Mus musculus: one gene and its partner. The protein of the gene in region 2 interacts with the protein of the main gene of each other region in a pairwise test. Links are inferred from orthologs where the notes say so. Each region holds a gene or a part of one and is shown on either strand. Other genes may lie near its edges.

Region 1 (4,211 bases), about 62 Mb from region 2:
GTTCTGCTACTCACAAGTAAATGTATTCAGCCACTATTGGAGAACCTGCTCAGAAACACAGCTTTTATAGGTACACCTTTGTTACTATTGAGGAAGAAACAACCATTTACCAGCTGAGGTTCTTTGAACACAAATTGTCGGTCACATTGCTGCTGTTCCTTGCTCCTCCAGGCTGGCCCCGCGGTCTGGGAAAGACGGCTCCTAGCAGGGGAAGCTGAAATAGGAGAGAACAGTCTCAACAAGAGCCGATAAGAACTGCGTGAAGATGACTTATGACCTCGAGATGTAATAGGCAAGGACAACAAACAGCCTCAATGCACTCTCACCAAATACTACACTGGAGAAACCACGTTCATACCCTTAGTTCACCATCCACAGAGCAGACAAAATGGCAGTCACATTTACAGAACAACTGTTAACAACTCAAGTGGGAGTTCATGATAAACCAAAGCATGTAAATGAAAGAGGATGGCAGCTGTGCACATGCACACACACAGTCTCTGCAGGTTCTTGCCTGGCTGAGTAGCAGACTGGCTCTTGGTAGGTGTAGCCCAGCCTCCCTGCACTCGGGCTCGCTGTCTCTTGTCCTCCATGGTGAAGAAAAAGCGTTCTGTTCTGAGATGTCAGAAGATTTCATTCCCCATTCAGACCAAGGGATGGCTACCTGTTTTCAAAACGAAGCGAGTGTTTTATTAAGGCAGTGCGTGCCTGGCCTAGTAAAGGGTAAGTACGTGCTTTAATGCGGTCAGAAGAGGCGGCTTAACAGCAACAGAGCTGCTCTACTTTACTACATCTCTGTCAAGGGCTGGATCAGGTGGACTACTGGCTATCAAGCCCTTTTACCATAGGCGGTCTAACAGAAAACCATGTTATTAGATTGGTCCCAAGAGCAGACCACATGCATGCAGCTCTAACATTCCCATTGTCCACAGCATGAATATGGAAAACTCGGCCAAGACCAGGCTCCCCAGTGCAGTGCTCCTTACCACCGGCTGTACGGAGCTTCCCTGGAAGCCTTAAAAGCAGCCATGACAGAGAAACCTGAAGGACTTCGGCCACATGAAGTAGAGAAGCACAGAGACATAAACGCTACGTGACCTTACACACAGCAACTTAAGAAAGCTGAACCCTAAGAGTAGAATGTGATTGCTTATGACTAGGGAAGGGGGCTAGGTGGGGGCAAGGACACTGTGGATCCAAAGTACAAAGTTTCACTTGGATAACAATAAGCTTTACTGACCTCCTGCACAGAACAAGGGCCATAAATACCAAATCACTGCTGGGAATGGTGGCACATGCCTTTAATCCCAGCACTTGGGAGGCAGAGGCAGGCGAATTTCTGAGTTCGAGGCCAGCCTGGTCTACAGCAGGACAGCCAGGGCTACACAGAGAAACTGTCTCGAAAAAAAAAAAAAAAAAAAAAAAAAAACAAACAAAAAACCAAATCACTGGATAGCTCAGTTATGAAGAGTAGATTTTAAATATTTCCATCACAAAAAGGTATACGAGGTAAGAGATGTATTAATTTGATGCATTCATTCTATATCAAAAGCATATATCAAAATGTCACAGAATACCATAAATAAGAACAATGATTTGTCAACTTTAAAATTAAGTTTGAAATGAAAATCTAAAATATCCATGTACCACTTTTAAAACTACAATTTAGGAAAGACTCTATTTCTATGTTTATAACAAGCAGCAAAGGGTAAGATATGCTAATATGTATAGAGATCAGAAGGTTTAGTGACTTACAGAGACACTCAGGAAATCAATACTGATGAAAAGTTCAACTCTTGTCAGGTTCCAGCCTTGAGCTAATCAAACCCCCTATAATTTTGCCCAAAGGTTACCCTATAGCAAATACAGAATTCTTAAGGGTCAGGTCACATGTTCGGAACCTGCGAGCCACTTCTTTATGAGTCTAGGAAAGCTTCTAGCTCTCAAAGACAGTCCACTCATATGACTGCTTACACCACAGGTTCCCAGGCCTCGTCTCCTAGACCTTCCGATCCAACAGAGCTCAGGGCTCTGCTTAAATCTCCTTAGGACGTAGAAATGATGGTTTACAGGCACATACCAGTAATCCCAGCATCCAGGAGGCCTGAGCTAAATACTGAGACCCCGTCTCATCACCGACAACCCATCAAGTGCTTATCATTTACCAGGTAGGGCCTTGGAGAAGATGTCGATTCCCTCAAAAAGTTAATGACACAATCAAATCCAACTCTCCGGGCTTACCGAATGTGTGAAGGAAACCCTCGTGTATCATATTCTCGGAGACCTAAAGGCATAAGACTAGTGGGGGTCAGTGAAGGCCTCTGACCTGCTCACCTTGACGTGACTTGTTTAAGGCAAGTGGTGAACAGAAATTCCAGAGTGCTGTCTGAGACTTCCTGAGTGCTGTCAGTTCGAGGAGTCCCAGAACTTAATAGGTCCTAACAAAGGTCCCGCCACCCTGGAACTCCAAGCCTGAAAACCTTAAAAAGAACAAGGGCTCTGGCAGGTGCAGGAACTTGCTTGGAATGCACAGATCTATCCCGTCCCGCCAGCAAACCCCGTGGCAGCGGACGCCACCGTCTGACCTCAGGCCTCTCCCTCAAGCAGGAGACAGTCCCGCCCTCGAGGCTGAGGTACAGAGAAATGGCTAACAGCCTTCTGATGGCCCAGAAACGGACCCTCGGGCAGTCCTCACACGCCTGCCCCCGGCTCGCGGCCAGCAAGCCAGGAAGGAGCTGGGCGCCCCGGACCAACCTGGCTGGGCCCTGAGCAGAGGTCCCGACACGACCCTAATCAGCCGTCTGGACGCCGGGGAACCTTCAGAGTGAGGCACCAACTCCTGCAACGTCCAACCACAGGCCTCCGTTGCGCGTAGTTCCTCTTAGGTGACATACTGCCACCGCTTCCGCTTCCGGTGGGTAGCCCGGAGTCCGGGTTGCCCCGCATCCCTGGCAACTAAAGGGCCGGGTGGAGACGCTGAAGGGAATATGGTCGGAATGGGAACTGGAGTCAGGGGCACATGTGGGGATGAAGATGAGCCTCCTAGGCCTAGGTCCTCAGGAAACTAGTTCCCGAAACCAGTGCTGGCATCTTAGGTCTGTTGTGCAAAGGGCAACCGCACTCTCCCGGAACTTGTACTGATCCGGGAGTAGGGAGGACTGGGACATGCTGGGTTCTGCTATAGAATTCTCTCCTTACCTTGAAAACCATGAAGAGTCTAAGGTGCGCTTTGTTCTCAACGTAGCGCGCCCGTCTTTTCTACACAGCATTTACGCTGGGACGTGAGAGCATGCCTTATTTATCTGAGTTCCTCAGTGCTAAGGAAACTTTACTTGAGTCCACAGATCTGTCTAAATTTCATTCCAATGCCACCATTTGGGGCAAGTGCATTGCTTACTTTTTAAGTGGTCCTGTTAAGTGGGATTAAATGAGACAGCAGCGTCTGGACCACTATAGAAATCTAATAATTCACGATAGCTAAAGTGCCTTCTCACGCATCTGACCTCTTCACAAGCTTCTTTAAAGAGATCAGGTTAAGCCATGTCTCTTATAATTTGACAACTCTGACTGTAGCACCAAGTCAACTATTTTCTGTCAAATATTATTCTCTAAAATTTACCAAAACACAATCATTGTGGAGATCTTTCAAATAAGCCTGATTCTGTCAGGGTATCGGTAAAGGCTCCTTAAGAAAAATCCCCACTCGTCAAAAGAATAGAATCACCTGGCCAAAGAATGACCCCTAGGAAGGTAGGCTTACCTGAAGTAACACTAAAGAGATAAGTGGACTTATTAGTACTTTAATGAGACACTGTACTTCCTTTCTCCGATTCCCACCCTCTATCTCCGTCACTTAAGGAACATGGCCACGCCGGTTCCAAGCCTTCCTGCTTTTCTAAATTACCTAGAGAAACAACAACAAAAACTAAAAACAGCAGCAACAACAAAAACCATAGCTTACCTTTCTTGCTGTCCCTCCTGTAAGCATGCTTCTTTTAGGACTTCAGACTTTTGCCAGCATTTGATGTCCCCTTACTCTTTCTCTGATGCTTCCCTCTCTTACATGACAACGGCTGCCTTCCACTCAGTGACTGACCTCCATGCCCACTTAACACGGAATCCCCACCCCCTATTCTCTTCCTTGGGGCGGCTGTCTACAGTTTACCTGTCCTCAGATGTTTGGTGTGTTTTTCTTTTAAACTAACAAAATT
Region 2 (3,559 bases):
TGGGGGACACATATTTGGTGTTTGTTGTGCTATGGATTCACACAGCCCGGGCTCTGGTTTCCCCTTCAGGAAATACTCACCAGAGCACCCCACCCCCCACCCCCCGTCCAGAAGTGAAGACTTTCCTTGTGTTTTTGAAAACTTTCTAGAATTAGTAACTGATTTTCTACTCCAGGAGTAAAGGAGATTAATATCTCCTGAGAAGAGATAAAACAGGAAGTTATGGAAGATAAAAGTCCTTTCTGATGGGATGGGGCATTTTGAGGAGAGTGAAAACTCTGTAAGAACTCCATGCTTAGCTGTAAGACTTAAACTCGAAAAGTTACATGGTTGCCAAAAAGCATTTGAGTCTCCCAGCAGTGCTTAGTGTCCTATCCTTGCGGTTCCTGCTTTTGGGAAGCTGAGGCAAAAAGGAGGTCTCTAGTCTGAGGTCAGCCTGGGCTCTGTGGCAATTCTGAGGCAAGCATGAATTTTAGAGAGACCCCGTTTCAACACCTAGAGAACCAAAAGGTACTCAGAAAAACATTTTTATTTATTTTTTGCCTTTCTGAACATTGTCAGTCTTAGAGATGAATGTTCCTAGGATGCCACAAGGGACCCAGAGCCTAGAAGGGTCTATTGCTGGGAGTGCCACACCTCCAGAATGTCATAGGCGTGGCCAGCTGCCACTGAGCCCCTGGTCTTACCTGTTAGACTCAACTGTAGATGTTGTCAAGGCAGCACCTATGGGTGATTCAGAACTGACAGTCACATGAGTTGTAGGGGTGTGGTCACAGTAACCCTGAAGAGAGTGAAGCTCACAATGAGTTCTCAGAGGTTCTTTCTCGCTTGCTCAAAGGAGGAAATTTGGTCAGCATCCCAAGAGGCTGAGACTGAAGGCTACATAAAGCAAACGGCCCCTTTCTTTGGAGAAAGGCATGGCCACTTCCTCCCAGACCAGCCTTGCTGGACAGGCCTGGACTCTCTGTCCCTCTCCCTTTGTCTTCCCATCCTCTGCCTATCTGGACTGTTGGACATTAGAAGACCTCTAAGCCAGAGACATAGTCTAAGAGTGAAGCCTGAGCTACTGAGCATAGTGGTGCATGCCTTTAATCCTAGCACCTGGGAGGCAGAGGCAGGCAGATCTCTGTTTCAAGGTCAGCCTGGTCTACAGGGTGAGTTCCAGGACAGCAGGGGTTACATAGTGAGGCCCTGTGTCAGAAAATAAAACAAACAAGTGAGGCCTGAGCCTGAAGAGCAACTGGGCCAGCTGGTCAAGCACATAGTTCCTGCCAGGCCAGTGGGGGACTTCCACAAGCTGCCATCTCCGAAATCCTAGGATTGGTCCCTGCCTACATTTCCTAGAAAGCTCACATGATCTCCTAGATACTTCAAGCCAAAGGGCAGCCATTGTTCTCTGCTTTATCCAGTTGTTTCTGAATTGACAAACACAGCCAGTGCGTGGGTCTGGGAGGAGGGAAGGCAGGAAAGCAAGAGAGGGGAGAATGGTTATGTTGACCATGATGTTGAGTCTGTCCCAGAAGCAAGGCCTATAGTCGGGGCAGTTAGCTCTCTGCCTCCTGGACTTGGCACATGTACCTGCTGTGGCTGCCACAGGTCAGAGCTCCAGAGGGAACTAGGTCCTTGGGTGTTCAGGAAGGAGACCCTGCAGCCCCTGCTTTGAGCTCTGGCCCTTCAGAATGCTACTAGGTGACCTGAGGCCTGGGCAGGCCATGTCTGTACCCCAGTAGCTCCCAGCATGTGCGACTGTCCTGTGCCTGCTGCTGTGCTACCCCGCTTGCCCCGTCCCCTCATGTCCATGGCAATGAGGCACCTCTCTCCTCCGTGGTCTTCTGACCCTCTGCTCTGTTCTGTGACAGGTGCCCACAGACCATATTGCTCCTGCACCGCCAACCGCTGCTACTGACACTATGTTTCTTGGTGTCACCCCTTCCCCTGATGCTGACCTCACTCAGGTTTGTGCTTCTCCCCTTTGTCTGTCGCCCTCCTGTCTGCTTCCCAAAGGACTCCCAAAGTTTTTTGAAAACTACTCTATTCAGATAGCTTGGTTCAGGTGTGCTCCTGGAGCCTGGCATGGGGAGGCCAAGATGGAGAACATTTGGGATGATGGGTGTTGAGATGAATTTGGCCTACTGTGTCCCTGTGTGACAGTAAGCAGAAGCTAAATAATGCTACCTTATTTCTTTCTACCCATACAGAGCCATGATGCTGGCAATTGCTCTAACCTCATGGAGGAGACCAAGTAAGTGTTCCCTACTGAGGGAGTCGGGGCAAGCCTCTGCCCATGAGCCCTGTTCCCATCAAACTACCTGCACCCCTGATCTCATGTCTCCTCCCTTAGGACTTTCTCATCGACTGAGAGTCTGCGACAACTTTCTCAACAGCTCAATGGCCTTGTGTCTGAGGTACCACAGGACTGGGACCCAGAAAGAAGGTAGAGAGGAAAGGAAAGTATGTTAGAAAATGAGGTGGGATTCTCAAGAGACTAATTCATGAGAGGCTCTTGTCATACTGGAGAAGACTTGGATTTGGACCACAATGGGCAACGTGATTTTTATCCTGGTGTGGTTTGAGGTGACAGCTGTTGAGCGGCGAGGTTGAGCCATGGCGGGAAAAGAGCCATAAGGAGTGGCACAAAGGGGGTGTGAGTGAGCAGGAAAGGAGATTCTGCTAGTTGAGGGGGAAGTAGGAGGCTGCAGGGATTAGACATTGAGGGTCACAGAGCATCTCCATGTGAGGTATTGTCTCTCCTAGTCTACATCCTACATCAACGGGGAGGGCCTCACATCTTCCAACATGAAGGAACTGGAGGTGAGTGGCCTGGACTCATGGCCCAGCAACCCTTTACGCCAACAGCCTATCTCCTCCTACAGGGACCTGGGTGCCCGCTGCCAGCTGAGACAGCCCACCACCCCCACCCCTAATGATGCTCTCTCTACCTTTCCCCCCATCCCTCCTCCAACTCCTCCTCTCTGCATGCGCCTCAGAACCGGTACCAAGAGCTAGCAGTAGCCCTGGACTCCAGCTATGTAACAAACAAACAACTCAGTAGCACGATAGAGGAATTGGTAAGAGTCCAGTGGGGTCCCTGATTCTTGCTGCCAGTCCTGGGCTTCAGTTTCCCCTTTGGGCTCTGAAGAAAGGGACTAGGGGGCCCCTGGGACCAAGGGGAATGGAAAACCTGGGGCTTGAGTCTCAGCTGGAGGCACCCAGAGCATAGAGCATGCAGCATGGATCTTGTGGCTCTCCTCTCTGCCTCCACTCTGTACTGCAGACTCATCCTGAGTCCTCGCCCTACTTGTCCTGAGCTCGGTGCCTCCAGTAGAGGGGAACACAACCCCAGTTGGTTGTCAGGACCCCATGTCCTATTGGCTTAGCCCCTCATTTGCTCTTTGATTTTGGCCACACCACTCCCTGGGTTTGAGTTTCCTGTTAGCAGATTTGGAGTGGGTCAGAGACCTCTGTCTACTCTGAAGAGGCAAGAGTTGGAAAGCTCATTGACTCATCAGAAACAAGTGCTCTCCCATTCATCTCTTGGTTGTGCCCACAAGACACGCTC

What was found.
Region 1: the proteins of Golga2 (region 2) and Alkbh3 interact in binary tests that used the Homo sapiens proteins (3 or more experiments, as listed by UniProt). The link is inferred for Mus musculus from reciprocal best matches to the Homo sapiens genes GOLGA2 and ALKBH3.

What each region holds. Positions count from the first base shown.
Region 1 is NC_000068.7:94,007,929-94,012,139, forward strand, and holds the start of Alkbh3 (alpha-ketoglutarate-dependent dioxygenase alkB homolog 3), read right to left. Parts: upstream 2,803-4,211; 5' UTR 2,755-2,802; intron 2,481-2,754; exon of another isoform or gene 2,335-2,480; intron 665-2,334; 5' UTR 594-664; coding exon 515-593; intron 215-514; coding exon 111-214; intron 1-110. UniProt on the Homo sapiens protein: Dioxygenase that mediates demethylation of DNA and RNA containing 1-methyladenosine (m1A). Repairs alkylated DNA containing 1-methyladenosine (m1A) and 3-methylcytosine (m3C) by oxidative demethylation. Has a strong preference for single-stranded DNA.
Region 2 is NC_000068.7:32,294,767-32,298,325, forward strand, and holds part of Golga2 (golgin subfamily A member 2), read left to right. Parts: intron 1-1,859; coding exon 1,860-1,955; intron 1,956-2,198; coding exon 2,199-2,242; intron 2,243-2,341; coding exon 2,342-2,405; intron 2,406-2,754; coding exon 2,755-2,811; intron 2,812-2,987; coding exon 2,988-3,068; intron 3,069-3,559. UniProt on the Homo sapiens protein: Peripheral membrane component of the cis-Golgi stack that acts as a membrane skeleton that maintains the structure of the Golgi apparatus, and as a vesicle thether that facilitates vesicle fusion to the Golgi membrane.